Caenorhabditis elegans: one gene and its partner. The protein of the gene in region 1 interacts with the protein of each later gene in a pairwise test. Each region holds a gene or a part of one and is shown in the gene's direction. Other genes may lie near its edges. The genes, in order: ftt-2 and sir-2.1.

Evidence for each region.
Region 2: the proteins of ftt-2 (region 1) and sir-2.1 interact in binary tests that used the Caenorhabditis elegans proteins (3 or more experiments, as listed by UniProt).

Annotation. Positions count from the first base shown.
Region 1 is NC_003284.9:11,603,090-11,607,403, reverse strand, and holds ftt-2 (14-3-3 domain-containing protein), read left to right. Parts: upstream 1-1,984; 5' UTR 1,985-2,023; coding exon 2,024-2,074; intron 2,075-2,123; coding exon 2,124-2,496; intron 2,497-2,771; coding exon of another isoform or gene 2,772-2,935; intron 2,936-2,963; coding exon 2,964-3,127; intron 3,128-3,192; coding exon 3,193-3,351; 3' UTR 3,352-3,696; downstream 3,697-4,314. UniProt on the Caenorhabditis elegans protein: Required for extension of lifespan by sir-2.1. Required to modulate lifespan, in concert with hcf-1, acting redundantly with 14-3-3-like protein par-5. Promotes nuclear export of yap-1.
Region 2 is NC_003282.8:10,362,522-10,367,753, reverse strand, and holds sir-2.1 (NAD-dependent protein deacetylase sir-2.1), read left to right. Parts: upstream 1-1,524; 5' UTR 1,525-1,565; coding exon 1,566-1,619; intron 1,620-1,683; coding exon 1,684-1,833; intron 1,834-1,904; coding exon 1,905-2,033; intron 2,034-2,089; coding exon 2,090-2,374; intron 2,375-2,828; coding exon 2,829-3,710; intron 3,711-3,798; coding exon 3,799-3,993; intron 3,994-4,139; coding exon 4,140-4,268; 3' UTR 4,269-4,436; downstream 4,437-5,232. Other genes in the region: pges-2 (Prostaglandin E synthase 2), read left to right, coding at 1-200, 249-347, 395-547, 597-883, 927-1,041, 1,090-1,242; ugt-59 (glucuronosyltransferase), read right to left, coding at 4,438-4,663, 4,990-5,232. UniProt on the Caenorhabditis elegans protein: NAD-dependent deacetylase. Involved in metabolism, apoptosis, response to oxidative stress, response to DNA damage, and determination of lifespan.

The DNA of each region.
Region 1 (4,314 bases):
AGTGGTCGTAATAAAGAAAACTACAAACATCCTTCCATCTCTCAGAGGACCTTCAGAAAGAAAGAACATTTGAAAAATGACCAGCAGGTGGTGCCTTGTTCAAAACAATTTGGAGTCTGGGCACAACCTTGACCAAACATCTAATAGGTTCCCACGACTTCACTGCTCCGTCGGCCGCTAATCCTGAAATGGCCAAAAATGAAAAGCCCATTTTGGTAATTGGGGCAGTCTGAGAAATGCGAATAAATATATTTAGAAACGTATTTTTCAAATTGAAGGTGGGTTCACTGGTTTTTGAATCTTTCCCGTAAGACAACAGTTCTCATTGATGAGTAAGAGTATACCTCACTGCACGGTGAAAGAAGATGTGGAATAGATAAGACGTAAATTGCGTTGAAGGTCTCTGTATAGTTGCGCACCACACCACGCATCTGTTGTTCCTAATTCTGTTTTGATAGAATGGGGTTTGAAAGGTTTCGGGATAGGAAGAATGAAGATGTACATGTACTTCCTCGAAAATCGGAAGTGAAGACAACAAAAATGAAGATCAAACAACAGTCGGATGTGTTCCGCGACACCAATTCTAATTGATATGGATGTTTGTACAAAATACCAGTTACAGTTTCAGAAACATCAGGAAAAATTACAGATACTATTGTAATAAACATTTTTGTAAAATTCTACATATGAATTAATGAAAAGAATGAATAGAACCTGGCCTTATATGTAGTTTAGAATTGTAAATTTATCATGCTAATTATTTTTCTGAATCTCCTTTGTAATTTAAGGCAAATACCAGGCACTTTCAAGTTAAGTAACACGATTATCAGCCTGTTTTGCCTGCATGTTTACGCGCCCTGCATATTCGATCCTAGGCTGTTGTGAAGCGAGAGCCAACCGCATCAGCTCCGAGCCTCCGAGCCCACCGCCGCTGGTCATTGATTTAGAACAAGTCTGCAGCGGTCGTCAAAGTAGCCCCCAAAGCGCTGCCGCATTGTTTGAATTTGCTCCAAGTTTCCAGAAACATCCAGGAACATGCAAGAATCATCATTTAACTTTGAAAACGGCAAGCTTCTGTAGTCACATTTTCAAATTTTCAGACCATACATTACTCAAGATAATTTGAAGGTAAATTATGGCCCAAAGAGTTATGGTGAGCGCTCTTTCTATTTGAATAACAGAGCGACTTCAAATGACGACCGAGCGCCTGGTGGGTGGGCAAAAGGCAGCCCCCTAGAAGCCTCCGCATGTCCGATGTTTTCGTCCTATTTTCTGCACAAAAATATTCAAAGTTCAAGATTTTAGGCCGAGTTTCTAGTCAACTAAAAGCCCGGAAAAAGACGAACCCGAATATCTAATTTTCATCTAATATATCTGAAATTATGTTGACTTCCTTCAAAGAAGAAATGTGGTGCGCGCTCTTGTTGACACATTGCGAAAGAGACCCTTTATGAGTCGTAGGAGGCGGCGGTTTTCTGTTGGCAGCCCCCTCGAATCACTCCGCAATTGTGTGTTTGTAGCGCGCCAAACGGCTCTTTTTAAACACAGATATCAAAACTTATATTTTCTTCACTTTAGCTGATGAAACAGACTTTCCCCTCTCAGAATATATAATTTTTATTCTGAAATTCGCAGTTTGAATGGTTTTTACAGACCCTAAAATGATGGTGCGCGCTCCTTTCGGCAGATAGGGAGAGACGCACAGAAAACGAGAGGGAGGGCTGGGAGGGGTGCCGCTCACTCTGTTCAACATTACTCGCTCGACAACGTCCTTCTCGTTTCTTCTTGATGCATTGTGTATACTTCTACAAGGGCTCATACGCCTCGTGTTAGAAGAGATGAAAATGTCCCATCAGTTTCATATCATATAAGAATACGGAAAGGAGCCATTCTTTGCTTTCTTCAAACAATCTTCATTTGTTTACCGCCCTCTTTCTTCTCTTTCTCATTTGACCTTTTTGTATCAAACTCTTTATATTCTCGTTTTTCAGTGACTCATCCACTTCAAGCAACTAAATCAACTATGTCTGACGGAAAGGAAGAGCTCGTGAACCGCGCCAAGCTTGCCGAGCAGGTATGTAGATGTCTCAGGATGTTCTTGAATACTAAAACTTTAATTTCAGGCTGAGCGTTACGACGACATGGCCGCATCCATGAAGAAGGTCACCGAGCTGGGAGCTGAGCTCTCCAACGAGGAGCGCAATCTTCTCTCCGTTGCCTACAAGAACGTCGTCGGAGCCCGTCGTTCTTCATGGAGAGTCATCTCTTCAATTGAGCAGAAGACCGAAGGATCTGAGAAGAAGCAACAAATGGCCAAGGAATACCGTGAGAAGGTTGAGAAGGAGCTCCGCGACATCTGCCAAGACGTTCTCAACTTGCTCGACAAGTTCCTCATTCCAAAGGCTGGAGCCGCCGAGTCCAAGGTCTTCTACCTCAAGATGAAGGGAGACTACTACCGTTACCTCGCTGAGGTCGCCTCCGGAGACGACAGAAACTGTAAGTGATTGAAAATGATGACTGTAATTGGGACATAACCGTGCACTCGTTTCTAACCCTCATTCGTAAGCTATGCATCCTTGTGTGAAGTGTGGAAAGATATCATAGGGAAGACAGAGAACGGGAGTTCAGGCGCGACCCAATTCCACATCGATGCGTAGTTTTTGAAAATAAACTCTAGGGCAGCTCATTGGGGGTTCTCCTCTAGGGAGTTCTGCCTCTCATAGTCATACTCGTTTCAAAGAAGACCAGAAATGAATATTCCTTCTTTGCAGCGGTTGTCGAGAAGTCGCAGCAAAGCTACCAAGAGGCGTTCGACATTGCCAAGGATAAGATGCAACCAACTCACCCAATCCGCCTGGGACTTGCTCTCAACTTCTCTGTCTTCTTCTATGAGATCTTGAACGCCCCGGACAAGGCTTGCCAGCTTGCCAAGCAGGTGTGTTAATGTTTTTATTTTATTTTAGCAGTAGCCAACATTGGACAAACGGCTTACGCGGAGGCACTTGAAATTGCAAATAAAGATCTGTCACCAACGAACTGTGTTCGCCTTGGTCTTGCACTCAATTATTCGGTGTTTTTTTATGAAGTAGCAGCAAGCCCGGATAGAGCATGCCAGCTTTCCAAGCAGGTGCTCGTTAAGTTTTTGACATAGCATCGTAACTTCAAAGCTATTGATTACCTTTAATCTTTCAGGCTTTCGATGACGCCATCGCTGAGCTCGACACCCTCAACGAGGACTCATACAAGGACTCTACCCTCATCATGCAGCTTCTCCGTGACAACTTGACTCTCTGGACCTCGGACGCTGCCACCGATGACACTGATGCCAACGAGACAGAGGGAGGCAACTAACTCCTTCACACCGACACGTTACCGCCACACACCCCTCACCTCGATCTTGAAAATGATAAATAATACTATTTGTCATATGATTTATTTATTACCATTGACTAGTTAAACCATCGTTTTTCTTTCCATTTTTTTCTATAAATTCATCAATCACTCCCCTTTTCCCATCAACCAAATGCAGAAGTTATTCAAATTTCTGTGCTGAGCCCACTCATCAAAACTTCCCGTCTCTACCCATACAATTCAATGTTCCGTTTTGTTACGGCTTTTCCCCCTTTCAAATCTCGACATTCGAAACACCCCCAAGCTTTTGAATACACATAATAAAGTTGTAACACCAACTTCAATATGAGAAATTAACGCAGATAATCACGTCGAAGAAATATTAAGAGGGGAGGATTCCGATTGACATCCAAATGTATAAAAATTAGTGCAATTGAACAAAGTTCGAATGAGAAAAGAAAACTGAAACGAACGTTTTCTTTTAGCGACATCTTGTTATTGCAGGTTGTTCTTCCTTAACCAAGATAACTACTACGTCTTAGGCACTTGCTAAGGTTCAATTCAAAATTTATTTCATTTATTATAGATATGAACAAAGATGAAAACTAGAATTTAATGTTCATATTCATTGAGGAATAAGAAAAGGTGGAGTCCTGGATTAAATCTCCGGTACATGACACTTTCATAGGTTTATTTCTAGTTAAATTGGCTTTACAGATATAGCAAAATTTTGGTTAGTGACATACTTGAAAACTACTTATTTGGACGGGTAGGTTTCATTTGCAACGCCAGGTGGCGGCGCCAGCTAACAACCAAAAAATTGGGGTTTTTACAGCCGATAATATAAGGAGTGGTAATTGGTACACTGGTAATTGAGATAGTTCTATGCAGAAAGAGCAGGGTTTTGGGAACGAGCTACTTTTGTACCACTTTACAATTAAATGAACATTTGTGCTTTAGTTG
Region 2 (5,232 bases), on another chromosome or scaffold:
CTTTGGCTGGATTCTCGTGGGGAGGATCAAAGCTGGACGATATCCAAACAGCAAAACTCAGAACATGCCCAATTCAAGTTCAGCAACCCGAGAAAGTGCAGAATGATGTCCTCCTCAGTCGAAAAGTTATTAATCACCTGGATAAGTCAAACTTGAAGCTCCGATTGTATCAATACGAGACTTGCCCGTTCTGTTGCAAGGTGCGTTACTCTTGTGTGAAGTATGAAAACTATTAATCAAAAATACAGGTTCGAGCCTTCTTAGATTATCACGGATTCTCCTATGAGGTTGTAGAAGTAAATCCAGTCACTAGATCACAGATCAAGTTTAGCACAACTTATAAAAAAGTAAGTTTTCATTCACATTTCCGGTTGTTTTATCTATTTTCTTTCAGGTTCCAATTCTCAGGAGTGGCGAGACAACTATGACCGAGTCTACTTTGATTATTTCCACATTGGCAACATATCTTCAAAGACCCGATCAGTCACTCGACCAGATAATACAAATGTATCCAGCAGTTGATTCAACAAACGAGAAAGGAAAGCCAGTGGGTTTTTGAATTACTCTGCAATTTTAAAACATCCTTGCTGATTCAGGTTCTCAACTACCCTAACAAATTCTTCGTTATGAAGGGAAAAGTAGACGGGGACGCAAATATGGCTTCTGCCAGAGAAGAGCGGGAATGGAGAGAATGGGTGGACAATTGGTTCATCCATCTTATTTCTCCTAATGTATATCGTAATTGGAATGAGTCTGTCGAGACATTCCGTTGGTTCGAACAAGTTGGCGACTGGCATCGTACTTTTCCAGCCTGGGAGAGAGTTCTAGCGGTATACGTGGGTGCAGCAGCAATGTTTTTACTTTCAAAAACATTGAAGAAAAAGTAAGTTAGTTAGAAGTTTATATCATGATTTCTGATATTAAAGGCACAACATCAATGATGAACGAGAAGAATTGAGAAAGGCTTGTCGTGACTGGATGGCAGCAATTGGACCAAATAGACAGTTTTTAGGAGGAGATGAACCGAATCTAGCTGATCTGGTTGGTTTGATTTTTTGGAGAAGGATTTACAATCTGATATATTTTCAGTCATTATATGGAGCTATGAATTCTTTCTATGGATGCTCAGCGTTCAAAGAAGTTATTTTAGAAGAAAAAATTGCTGAATGGTGGCGAAAAATGGATGCACTTGTCAAAAACCACGATGGAAGAAAAGCATTGGAATCAAGAAGTCAAAAATAAAAGATTGAAATTGTTAATATAGACTAGTCCTTGATTTAGTGCCTTATTGTTTGCTGTGTTTTTGTTATCTTTCTCATCCTATTTGTCTTATTGAATCAATTCAATGTTTTACCAGCTAGGATCTCATTTTAGTTAAAATTCTACATTTTTCCCTCATAATAAACCATGTTTTACTCTGCATTCATGAAGACGGCAGTTTGCGCCATGCAGCGTTTGTTGACGCGCATTTGGTATCTCCCGTTGACGCAGTTGGTTCACTTTTGAATTGATTTTCGTATTCAGTTCTGGTCTACTTTTAATAAAATTAATCATATCGATAAACGATGTCACGTGATAGTGGCAACGATTCAGAAGTTGCGGTCACACACGGGGAAGTGGTGAGTTAATTTATTAGATTTTTTTAAAATTTCCTTACTAACAACCTAACGTAAAATGTTTCAGCAAGAAATAACGGAGGAAAATCCAGAAATCGGTTCTATGCACATTACACAAGAAACAGATATTTCCGATGCACCCGAAACAAACACAGATTCGAGTAGACAAAGAACAGAAAGTACAACCAGTGTCAGTTCAGAGTCTTGGCAAAATAATGTGAGTTTTCGCCAAAAAATGAAGATAAATTCCCAAGGAGATTAAAATGTTTCTAAATTAATATTTTTCAGGACGAAATGATGTCGAATCTTCGTCGTGCTCAAAGACTTCTTGATGATGGTGCCACTCCATTACAAATTATTCAACAAATTTTTCCTGATTTTAATGCATCACGAATTGCAACAATGTCAGAGAACGCGGTACTTAAAAAAAAAATTAAAATTGACAATTTCCTGAAAAAAAAACCAATTTTCAGCATTTCGCCATATTAAGCGATCTTCTAGAACGTGCTCCTGTAAGGCAGAAACTCACAAACTACAACTCACTAGCAGATGCAGTCGAACTATTTAAAACAAAGAAACATATTCTTGTGTTGACTGGCGCTGGAGTGTCAGTATCCTGTGGAATTCCAGATTTTCGAAGTAAAGATGGTATTTATGCACGACTTCGGAGCGAGTTTCCCGATCTTCCTGATCCGACAGCAATGTTCGATATTCGTTACTTCCGAGAAAATCCTGCTCCGTTCTACAATTTTGCGAGAGTAGGTTATTTTTCCTTTTACTGTGTTTAAGCTAATAAGATCAATAAGTTTAGTTTGCCAATTTTTGCTTAAATATACCAAAATTAGCCCGATTTTTTTTCACAATGAGACTTTTCAAAAAATTTTCGAACACTTTATGGCGGGCCAGAATATCGGAAAAAAGGAGCCACATTTTGCTAAAATCTGAAATTGGCGAAATTTTAAATTTTAGCAAAATTTGGCTCTCTCTTTTCGATATTCTCAGCCGCCAGAAAAATTTGTTCGAACTTTTTTGAGAAGTCTCATTATTTATGATATTTGTTTGTTTCGAGACAGTTCTATTTAATTTTAAAAGAAAACCCCACAAACTCTATTCTCCTCTAACGTTCCATTTCTCTAGTAAATCCCAATTGAACTCGCTGCAGCGACGCTGTCTCAAAAATTTCAATATCCAAAAAAAAATTAAATATTTCAGGAAATCTTCCCAGGACAGTTCGTACCATCTGTATCACATCGATTTATCAAAGAGCTTGAAACTTCTGGTCGTCTTCTTCGAAATTACACTCAAAATATCGATACATTAGAGCATCAGACTGGAATTAAAAGAGTTGTGGAATGTCATGGATCCTTTTCGAAATGTACATGTACACGTTGTGGACAAAAATATGATGGGAATGAGATTCGTGAGGAAGTTCTTGCTATGCGTGTTGCCCATTGCAAACGTTGCGAAGGAGTGATCAAACCGAATATTGTATTCTTTGGAGAGGATCTCGGAAGAGAATTTCATCAACATGTTACAGAAGACAAGCATAAAGTAGATCTCATTGTAGTTATTGGATCTTCTCTCAAAGTTCGACCAGTTGCATTAATTCCACATTGTGTTGATAAGAATGTTCCACAAATTCTAATCAACAGAGAATCCCTCCCACATTATAATGCAGATATTGAATTGCTCGGAAATTGTGATGACATCATCAGAGATATCTGTTTCAGTCTTGGAGGCTCCTTCACTGAACTGATTACATCTTATGATTCGATTATGGAACAACAAGGAAAAACGAAATCACAAAAGCCTTCACAAAACAAACGACAGTTGATTTCACAGGAAGACTTTTTGAATATTTGTATGAAAGAGAAAAGAAATGATGATTCGAGTGATGAGCCAACATTGAAGAAACCAAGAATGTCGGTGGCTGACGATTCGATGGATTCCGAGAAGAATAATTTCCAAGAAATACAAAAACATAAGTCAGAAGATGACGATGATACACGGAATTCGGACGATATTCTCAAGAAAATAAAGCATCCAAGGCTGCTGAGCATTACTGAGATGCTCCATGACAATAAGTGTGTCGCGGTGAGTGGTTTTGAAAATTAAAAAGTTAAAAGTTAGAAAATATTTCTAAACAACCCTACCAGTTTACAATTAATAATTTTTTCTTCAGATTTCTGCTCATCAAACCGTCTTTCCTGGAGCCGAATGCTCATTTGATCTAGAAACATTGAAACTGGTTCGTGATGTTCATCACGAGACACATTGCGAAAGTTCGTGTGGTTCGTCTTGCTCATCAAATGCCGATTCAGAAGCAAATCAATTATCTAGAGCACAATCGCTAGATGACTTTGTACTATCTGACGAGGTTAGTTCATCATAAAAACTTTCTTGAGGTGCTCTTAAAAGTGTCAAAGAAAAATTGAAAATGTAAAGCTGCAGAACAGTTTTTGAAATTTTAAACACTACTTCTGCCATTTCCGCGAAAACCTATCTATAAATTATTAATTACAGGATCGAAAAAACACGATACATCTGGACTTGCAACGAGCCGATTCATGTGATGGAGATTTTCAGTATGAACTATCTGAAACGATTGATCCTGAAACATTCTCGCATTTGTGTGAAGAAATGCGTATCTGAATCTCATGTTAAAAAATTTCAATTTTCCTTCTCTTGTGTTCTCAATTTTACACCAAATCCCATTGAAAAACGCGTTTTCATCTGTTATTGTGTGTTTAAACTTTTAAAACTTTAAATTGTTTTTCAATTCTTTGCAAACATCAAAATAAAATTAAAAAATTTCATTCTATTATGTCCATATTGAAAATCCATGTTTTGCGTAGAGTATCATGGCTGGAATAATGAGAAAACCAAGTTTTAAATATGAAAAATCGGGCTCTTTGGGTCGAAGATGTTTTGCAAAAGCTTTTCTTGATGGCTTAGCTGCTTGTCGAATCCTCCATTCAATAAGTTCTTCGTGTGGAATTGGAGTATCAGAAAACATTCGGGAGAATTTTTCGCAATTTTGGGTATATCTGAAACAACATTAGTTGATCGAAGTACATTATTAGCATTAGAATATTTAAAATTGGAATACCGTCAATGTTAATTTAACTTTAAACAAACTTTGTAATACTCAGACTGGTTTAAAAAAAAACCACGCCCATTTCTCCGTGCCGCAATTTGTTTGGTTTTGACTCCTGTTTCCAATTTTTGATAGAATAATGAGATTAGAAAGTTCAAAAATCGCTAAAATCATCAATATTTTTTCAAATTTAATGCATTCATTTCGTTGTAGTTTTGTGGTATCTTGGTATTTGGGACCAGTCTGAGTATTTTAAAGTGAAAGCAAAAATCTTACTTTGGATTGGTCAAAATCGTGTAAATTGCATGGACAACTCTTCGTCGACTCAATCTCATTTTATCCAATAAAACAGCAACTCCTTTAGATTCTGCAACTTTTGAATTCTTCGCATGATCAGCAAATAATGGCATTAAAATCATTGGTTTCGAATGCATTGTTGTCTCTAAAATACTACTCCATCCACCATGAGTTATAATTGTTTTATAGTTTTTATGAGCCATTAATGGTAATTGTGGTATC